Linked DNA regions of Drosophila melanogaster. The protein of the gene in region 1 purifies or fractionates together with the protein of each later gene. This does not show direct contact. Each region holds a gene or a part of one and is shown on either strand. Other genes may lie near its edges.

Region 1 (4,787 bases):
CGGGAATCGATCTCCGGTTCAGCCTCTGGACGCTTTTCGGGTGTCTTCTCGCGTCTGTTAAAAATAATGGGGCTCTTAGCTTTTCGTGGTGGAGCCTCCAATTTCGGGGGATCCTCTTCTGGCTCCTGGTCTACAGACTCCTCCCTCGCGCTCAAGTTCAACAGATCCTCATCATATTCATCGCTTTCATCCCCGATCTCGCCAATCTGGCGTAAATGCTTCTTGGCTGCATGAATTTTCTTTTGGATTTCGGCCAGCTCAGCGAGGTCTTTTTGCCGGTTAACACCGATAGTAGTTGAGATGATCTCAGACACAGCGGGCACATCCAGCGCCCTATTGGCCGATGCATCCTCATCCTCGATGGACTTGCGATTTTTCTTTTTGTGCAGGATCTCGTCTTTGGCACTGAGATCAATGTCCATGGTTTTCTTTGCCTTCTCGAGAAGCTCTTCGGCAAAAACATCCGTGATGGAACTGACAATTGGCATGGCATCTGAGGAACTTGGCTGTGGTTCCGACAGCTCATCTCCGGACTTTCGGTGCGGTCGCTTATCCTTCTTGGATCCTTTTTTGTCCTTCTCCTGACCGCGAGACTTGCGCTTCTTGCTGGAAGCTGAAAAAATTGGAGTTAGTGGGTGCTTAAGTATGATGAGCATATCCATCATACCACTGGATGTGGGGAGTGTGACCTCTTGGAGCTTTTGCAGCACTTCGTGCAGCCAGGTGACAAAGAGGTCAGTTTGATCGCCTAGGAATAGATTCAGCTCGGCGTTCATCTGCTGTTTGGTGCGCTTGTTGGCCACCATGACCATGACGTAGTCCGGCAATTCATCGTCTATAAAACCGGCCGATCCTCCGGTTCCCAGCTCCAGCAGCTTTGCCTTTACGGCGCTCTATTAATGAAGTGCAAAAATATATATAGTATTGGAGTATCCAATCCGAGCGGTATCCATAACGAGTTCATTGATTTTTTTCCAATGACTTACGCGCATCTTCTGACCAATCTCGCTGCCCAGATTGCACTCCATGTTTGCTGGTTTATCTATCGCCTTTTTCGCTGTTTATTCGCCGCGAGCATTTATTATTTACGCTTACTTTGTGGCTACACTCCACTTTTTGTTACATTAGAAAATGGCAAAACCTCCCAAAAAAAAAAAATATCGCAGCTGCTCCGATATTCATAACTAGTGGTGTGCGTTTGACATTAAGGGTATTCACGTTTAATTCACACGTTTTATAATGTATATATCGATTTTCTATAAACATAGCTTTAAAATAATAAATAGTTACAGAAATTTCATTTGAAATTAAAATGGCAAATTAAAAACTTCTGAAATTTAAAAATGCTCCTGGCCATGGCCATGAACTGAAGTGCAACATAACTTCAAAATAATCAACACCAATGGGACAATTTAAAAATATAAAAAGATTTCACTTGTTATTCATTAAATCATAAGTCTAGTTATCAAGAATTTGTGTAGTAGCTATTAAATTACATTCGAAAATTAAAAGCGAATAATTGCAAACAGTTTATTTAATCACATAGCTAAATATAAATTTCATAATAAGCTTAAATTCCAAACCAATGGCTACGAATATGTTTGACTGAGAATTAAAATTCTCAATTTGAAGTAAATATCTTAGATTGTAGAATCCTGCGAAGCATTTCAGTGCATCATCTCAAATTCAAATACGAAAATTGGCTCCTTCGGCTAAGACTCGATACCCATCTTGTGAGCCCCGCCACCAACTATCGATACGCAAAGGCATTTCATTCGGTGGGAATGGCAATCGAGTGTCACACGGGAAGAAGAAGCTGCGAAAAGAATTTTAGAAGAAAGCAACTGCAATTTTGTCATAATCGGAGCTGCAATTCGCAATGAATAATGGAAACTAGACAACCCAGTTCCGGTGATGATCTAAAGCCAGGTGCGTACCGCCCGGTGGCGCAGCGAGTGCGTCCAACGGGGCTACCAAAGGCAGCCCCTTTGACTTTGTGAAATGTGTGTCTGTGTTTCGCTCGCCCTTCGAATCGAATGGCTGCGTTTTTTCGACTGCGTTTCGCCAAGCGAAATTCACGGGCCCCTTTGGCCAGATATATCTGGAATATTGACGACTCCCAGCGAGCGCATTTTCGACAACTTGTTGCACTAAAACCCGTGAAATCCTCTATCTTGCAGAGCTGTACTTCCTCATTTCCAAGTTCCTGGCCGCGGGACCGCTGGAGGAGACGGCGAAGGTGGGTTGAAAGCAGCGCTCGCGCGAGATCGCATTGGAATCGTATTTCGCGCTAAAAGAGCGGAATTTCGTTTTGTTTACAAACATTTACATTAATTCTGAAACTAAATTCTATCCAACTGTAGGTCTTGATCCGGGAACTCGAAGAGAAGAAGGTGAGTTTTGTTGGTGCTGCAGCTGTGTTTTTGGCACAGATATTTCGGACTCGAATTGAGAGGGGGGCCAAAAAAAAAATAGAAAACCGCGTTTGTTTATACGCTTTGTTTTGGTTTTGTTGTTGTTTCTGCTGCCGGCAGCGAACGACGAAAAACCCACTTGTACGTCCGCTTGTCTCAGAGTTGGGAATCAGACTGAATTGTGGATTTGCTGGGGCCACGTGAATATATAGTCCATTAAAAAAAGAAGAGAAAAACATGAAAAAAGAAATGGAATCATAGGGATGCCCCCGCGACGTCATCGTCGACGTCACGGAGTGCAAGTGATAAGAGTCATACATGCATGCATATATATTTACACCCGTCTATATATACGTACACCTTTCGATTCCCAGGTTTTGCCGCGTCGTCTCGATTGGCAGGGAAACGAGCATGAGCAGACCTTTGAGGAATTGGTGAGTGTTTTCATAATTAATCAATTAGCTTTTCAAAGTTATCGTTTAATGCCTTTTGATCGGCATTTAAGTCTTGCGTAAGTGTGCGTCTGCTGCGGCATTTTCCGTCTCAGTCGTTCGCTCGCCTTTGTGACGTCATCGTGTCAGGGAATAGAGAAAAAGTTGCACATCAAAATTCAAGTTGTTAATTTAAAAAACATTACAACTAAAGACATCAATCATTCTGACTGTTAAATTAACAAATAAGTAAGCAACTATTTAATTAAAAAGGCAGCAAAAAATTGCAAAAATTCGTAAAAGACTAAAGTGGAAAGCAAAAATTCTAAAACCCTCGTAAAAATTGTAAATTTTGAAAAATCTTAATTTTTTAAACAAATGCTTTGTAATTTAGTTTTAACAATTAGCTGCAACCAGCCGACATTTTGGTTTCTCACACATACACATGCCCATGCGCACAGACACATGCAAGCAACCACCACTTTGCCTTGACTTGTGCGCGAGGGAACGAGACAAGCATACGTTGTTGAAGCTATCGCACCGTTTATCGCCCAATCGATAGGAATACGTTAAATTTTGATTTTGAATTCGCAGGAACGAAAGTACAAGCACATTGGCGCCAATCACTTGCTTGAAATATGCAGTCGTCTGGGTCCACTGGTGGATCGCGAGCTTCCGCCCAGTGTTCCGGGCATCAACTCGCTGTTGGGTACTGGGCGCCAGAACCTCCTGCGCACCAAGGAAACCGTCTACTGCCATCGCTCCTTAAGGGACTACTGCACCCGCCTGAATGGAGTCTCGCTGCCGGATTCGGTCCTTACAAAGCCGACCCACAACTTAGGTTAGTTGCATGGTAGAGTTTTATTCGCATATTAGAGACTAACCCATTTATATTTCCAAAGATCGCGTTCTAACTGGACGGGAACACGGCGGGGAAGTCCGTCGCAAGCTCCTCGTGCCCACGGACCTCTACCGCCGAACAAAATTGCTCCGTCGCACTGTGGGCCACCTGTCCTCAGTGTACTGTGTTCTGTTTGATCGCACAGGAAGATACATCATCACCGGAGCCGATGATCTACTTATTAAGATATGGTCAGCGGCAGATGGCCGCCTGCTGGCCACTCTGCGAGGCGCCTCATCCGAGATTACAGACATAGCCATTAACTTGGACAATACGATGCTGGCTGCCGGGTCATTGGATCACATACTAAGAGTGTGGGACATGCAAACCACATCACCCATCGCCGTACTGTCTGCTCACACGGGCATGATAACTTCGGTTAACTTTTGTCCGTCGCCACGTAGCGATCTGAAATATCTGGTGACTACCAGCACAGATGGATCGATCGCCTTCTGGCAATACTCAACGCCGCGCGGGCAAAAGATCACGTTTGCCCCGAAGCCAACGCAGTATCATGAGAAACTGCGGCCCGGACAAGCTCAGATGATGTGTACCACCTTTTCGCCAGGAGGCATTTTTCTGGCCGCTGGGTCTGCCGATCACCATGTGCGCGTCTATATGATGGGCGAGGACGGTCCGAAGCGAATATTGGAGACGGAAGCTTACACAGATGCCGTGGACTCGGTGCAGTGGTCGCATCGTGGACTGAGATTTATATCGGGGAGCAAGGACGGCACAGCACACATCTGGACGTTTGAGTCGCAGCAGTGGAAAAGTTCCAAACTATGCATGACGGAGCGTCTGGCCAGGTGAGTGCGATTTTCTTTAAAATGTTTCTAGCTAGTAAGGAATTCTCTGAAAACTAATAGCTTTGTAATTAAATTGCAGCTGCCCGGAACCAGAGGAGGGAAAGAGGCTTAAGGTAACCATGGTGGCTTGGGATGCCTCGGACCGTTATGTCATCACCGCCGTAAACGATTTTACTGTAAGCATCCGTCTTAAAACGTGCTAAACATTTACTTATAATTAATAATCCCATTT
Region 2 (3,891 bases), on another chromosome or scaffold:
ATTTTGCTGTAAAGAAGTTCAATCAGCATTTTTATGAAAATAACACACAAGTTTTTAACATTTTTCCAACACCTATTTTATTATCACTTTCAAACATTTGTTTACACTTGAACAATAATTGTAAACTATTTTATTTTTAAGCACTTGTAATTCTTGTTATCAAAAACCTGTGAGTATATAGGGTTATCATACACTTGTGCATCAAGTTTTGGTTTGTTGTTGTTCTTATTAATTGTCTATTAAATTAATAATAGTCGAGAATCCTTCAGCCTAACTTGGCAACAGTTAGTAATAGATTTGAAAACAAGCGGAAAACCTCCAGCCATTATTACAGATTATCCTTATCAGGACAAAAAGCAGACATACATTTTATGTAAAAGTTAACAAACAACTTTATTGAAAATCATTCCTGTCCAAAGATCATTGTAAATTTTAAGTTCTGAAAAATGATGATAAGATAGAATGGTCTGCGCAAAGGTTGACAAATATATATTTTATAATTATGAATAAAACTACAAACATATTTGATTAGCCACAAAATATTATTCCATTTAGATAGATAATAATTTGGCTGTTTATTGCTGCATACTTAATATATGGTAAATAATAAAATAATATAATATATATAAATATATATAGTCTAGTGGGGGGGGTCTAGTCCCCCCTAGAGTTTCTTTGATTTCTACTACTGGCTTGGTAGAGTGGTTCCTCCATTCTTATCGATGACATCGTTTATGGGAGTCTTGAGGATTATTTACGAGCCCTTTTCGAGTTGCAGATATGGTTTTAGCTGAAAATGTGTATAAAAGGCTGCCATCCGAGAGTAGAATCCAGTATAAACATCAGCATGAAGGTGTTCCTAGCTATCCTGGCTCTGGCCGTGGCTTCGGCCTCCGCCTTCGACGAGAAGGTCTTCGTAAAGGACCTGCCCAAGGCCACCAAGATTGAGGGTCGTATCACCAACGGATACGCCGCCCCCGAGGGTAAGGCTCCCTACACTGTGGGTCTTGGCTTCAGCGGAGGCTGGTGGTGCGGTGGCTCCATCATCGCCCACGACTGGGTCCTGACTGCCGAGCACTGCATCGGAGATGCCGCTTCCGTGATCGTTTACTTCGGTGCCACCTGGCGCACCAACGCCCAGTTCACCCACACCGTTGGCAACGGCAACTTCATCAAGCATTCCAACGCTGATATCGCCCTGATCCGCATCCCCCACGTCGACTTCTGGCACATGGTGAACAAGGTGGAGCTCCCCAGCTACAACGACCGTTACAACAACTACAACGAATGGTGGGCCGTCGCTTGCGGATGGGGTGGCACCTACGACGGCAGCCCACTGCCCGACTGGCTGCAGTGCGTCGATCTCCAGATCGTCCACAACGAAGAGTGCGGCTGGACCTACGGCAGCGTTGGCGACAACGTCATCTGCACCCGCACCGTCGACGGCAAGTCCATTTGCGGAGGTGACTCTGGCGGTCCCCTTGTCACACACGACGGCTCCAAGCTGGTGGGAGTTAGCAACTTCGTCTCCTCCAACGGCTGCCAGTCGGGTGCTCCTGCTGGATTCCAGCGCGTCACCTACCACTTGGACTGGATCCGTGACCACACTGGCATCTCTTACTAATTTTTCTAAATAAATCGATCATTTTAAAAGCAATACGTTTCGAGAGTATATAAATCGGGGTCACCAACAAAATGTATGTGTTCTACACTTGTTTTACGCAGTGTAAAACAAATTTTACTCGTGTGTAGAAACCACGGCGTAAGATTACACAAATAATTTTTGTAGCAGTTTTGTGTGAATGCCAAAGCAACAGCTGATTGCTATCAAGTAAACAATTAATTACGTTTTTGCCGTGCACCAAAGGATTGAGTTGGGAGTGCTTTGTTGGTGCGTAGATCACGTAACCGGAGGCGGCAGCATGTGCACTCTGCACCCCGAGGAGGAAGCTCACCTGATGGCCATGGCCAGCGGAGGACAACCAACGCGTACGGCCAGTCCAAGGCCATTGGTCACCGCCTCCATTGCAGCACCACGATCGCTGTTTGATGTCTGCTGGGACGATGTGCTCATCCCGCAGGTTGCCGTCTACCTGTCGCTCAAGGATCTCTTCAACCTGCGCTGCTGCTCCCGTACCGCACAACGCTTTGTGGAGGCTGCGCTGGAAAAAAGGCAGGAACTTCATCTCTCTGGGAACAACACAAAGAATATCGACGTGGCCTTTCGAGTGCTGGCCCGATGTTGCCAACGATTGGAGGTGCTTCATCTGGCCTGCTGCCGATGGCTAACAGATGAGCTGCTGCTGCCACTGCTGGCCAACAACAAGAAACGCCTGTGGGCCGTCAACCTGAACGAATGCGTCAACATCACGGCCCTTTCGCTGCAGCCGATCATAGTGGAGTGCAAGGAGCTGCGCGTACTCAAGCTGTCCAAGTGCCAGTGGCTGACCACGGGAGCAGTGGACGCTTTGACGCTGCACCAAAGCAAGCTGGTGGAGTTCGACATCTCCTATTGCGGCGCAATTGGAGAGCGCTGCTTGATTATCTTCTTCAGGAAACTTAACAAGCTCACCGTCCTGTCGCTGGCAAATACGCCCAGTGTCACCGATCAGGTGCTCATCCAAATCGGGAACTATTGCCGCGAACTGGAGCACATCAACGTGATCGGGTGTGCGGCTATCTCCGACTATGGCGTGCAGTAAGTAATACTCGTAGTTATCCCTAAAAGCTGTTGTCATATTGTCAGTAAACCTGTGCGTGCCTTGTGTCTGTGTGTTTCTGGGGAAACCAATCTCCATCTGCATCCGCATCTGCGTATTTTCAGCGCTTTGACAGTGCACTGTTTGCGGCTACGGACCTTGCTCATTCGACGTTGTCCGCGGGTCACAGAACTCTCCCTGGCGCCGCTCCGCCAGCGGCGTCTTTACATCGATAGGCCACAGCCGGATGTGGGGCTCAACGCTTACAACTTGAACGACTTCTATCCCAGCGATTTCCTTGTTTACTAGCCCACACTTCGTTCTCCCTCTTCCGCAGTGCCCTCACCTCCAGTTGCCCGCTGCTGCAGTCACTGATGGTGCAGCGCTGCCCATTGGTCACCGAGCGTGTGCTCGCCCCACTTCGTGGACGGGTCCACATCGATCGGCCCGGCATGGGCTACATGCCAACTGTGCAACATCACCGCCTGTTCCTGCAGGTTTGAGATTAATTCTGATTCCGGGCCAATATTACCAATGTACCAAGGAGGCTTTCGAGGCTATCCAATACTTTTGCTGTAAATACATGCCTCAGCATGGGACGCTTTAATTTACTTTTAAGCTTAATCTTACACATTGTTAACATTAATTTAGGCTGTACAATAAACATACTAACTTATTCATCTCTCTCTCCAAAAGCTCGAGCTTTTTGCATTAAAATACATGTAAACCAGAAAGTAAGCTAGAATCGGCAAGCCGAAACTTATATACCCTTGCAGTAATTATAACATTTATACCGATTAAAAACAACGACCCGTTCATGCAGATTGCTAAACTAAGAGACTATTTGGCATAGAAACTGACAGACGGACATGGCCGTATCGACTCCGCTGGTGATACTGATATATAGTTTATATGGTCGCAAATGCCTCATCCACTGCGCTACAAACTTTTCGATAAAATAAATATACTAACTGCAAGGGCATAAAAAGCGTGGCTAAAATGTGGCCAATATAAATACAATAGTGTGCTTTAACTTTCCCCTCGTGCTTTGTGCGGCTTCCCATCATTGTGCTGAAATTAATGGCGAGTTAGAGGTAGTTGTTGTGGATGTCGCCTCGACCCCCTTTGACAGGTGGAGTTGTTGCTTGAATGCAGAGCTTACACTAATATCCTCGTCGCCTCGGCCATCTGC

Evidence for each region.
Region 2: the proteins of BRWD3 (region 1) and jet purify together in Drosophila melanogaster (affinity purification with western blotting, with the first as the bait; one study listed by BioGRID). This does not show direct contact.

The regions. Positions count from the first base shown.
Region 1 is NT_033777.3:24,317,229-24,322,015, forward strand, and holds the start of BRWD3 (BRWD3), read left to right. Parts: upstream 1-1,771; 5' UTR 1,772-1,886; coding exon 1,887-1,929; exon of another isoform or gene 1,930-2,180; coding exon 2,181-2,239; exon of another isoform or gene 2,240-2,363; coding exon 2,364-2,393; exon of another isoform or gene 2,394-2,554; intron 2,555-2,788; coding exon 2,789-2,848; intron 2,849-3,439; coding exon 3,440-3,686; intron 3,687-3,747; coding exon 3,748-4,555; intron 4,556-4,634; coding exon 4,635-4,731; intron 4,732-4,787. Other genes in the region: Nab2 (nuclear polyadenosine RNA-binding 2), read right to left, coding at 1-613, 668-893, 987-1,028.
Region 2 is NT_033779.5:4,947,705-4,951,595, reverse strand, and holds jet (jetlag), read left to right. Parts: upstream 1-1,811; 5' UTR 1,812-1,922; coding exon 1,923-2,698; intron 2,699-2,824; coding exon 2,825-3,008; 3' UTR 3,009-3,036; coding exon of another isoform or gene 3,037-3,202; 3' UTR 3,203-3,390; downstream 3,391-3,891. Other genes in the region: Jon25Biii (jonah 25Biii), read left to right, coding at 848-1,624; betaggt-I (beta subunit of type I geranylgeranyl transferase), read right to left, coding at 3,763-3,891.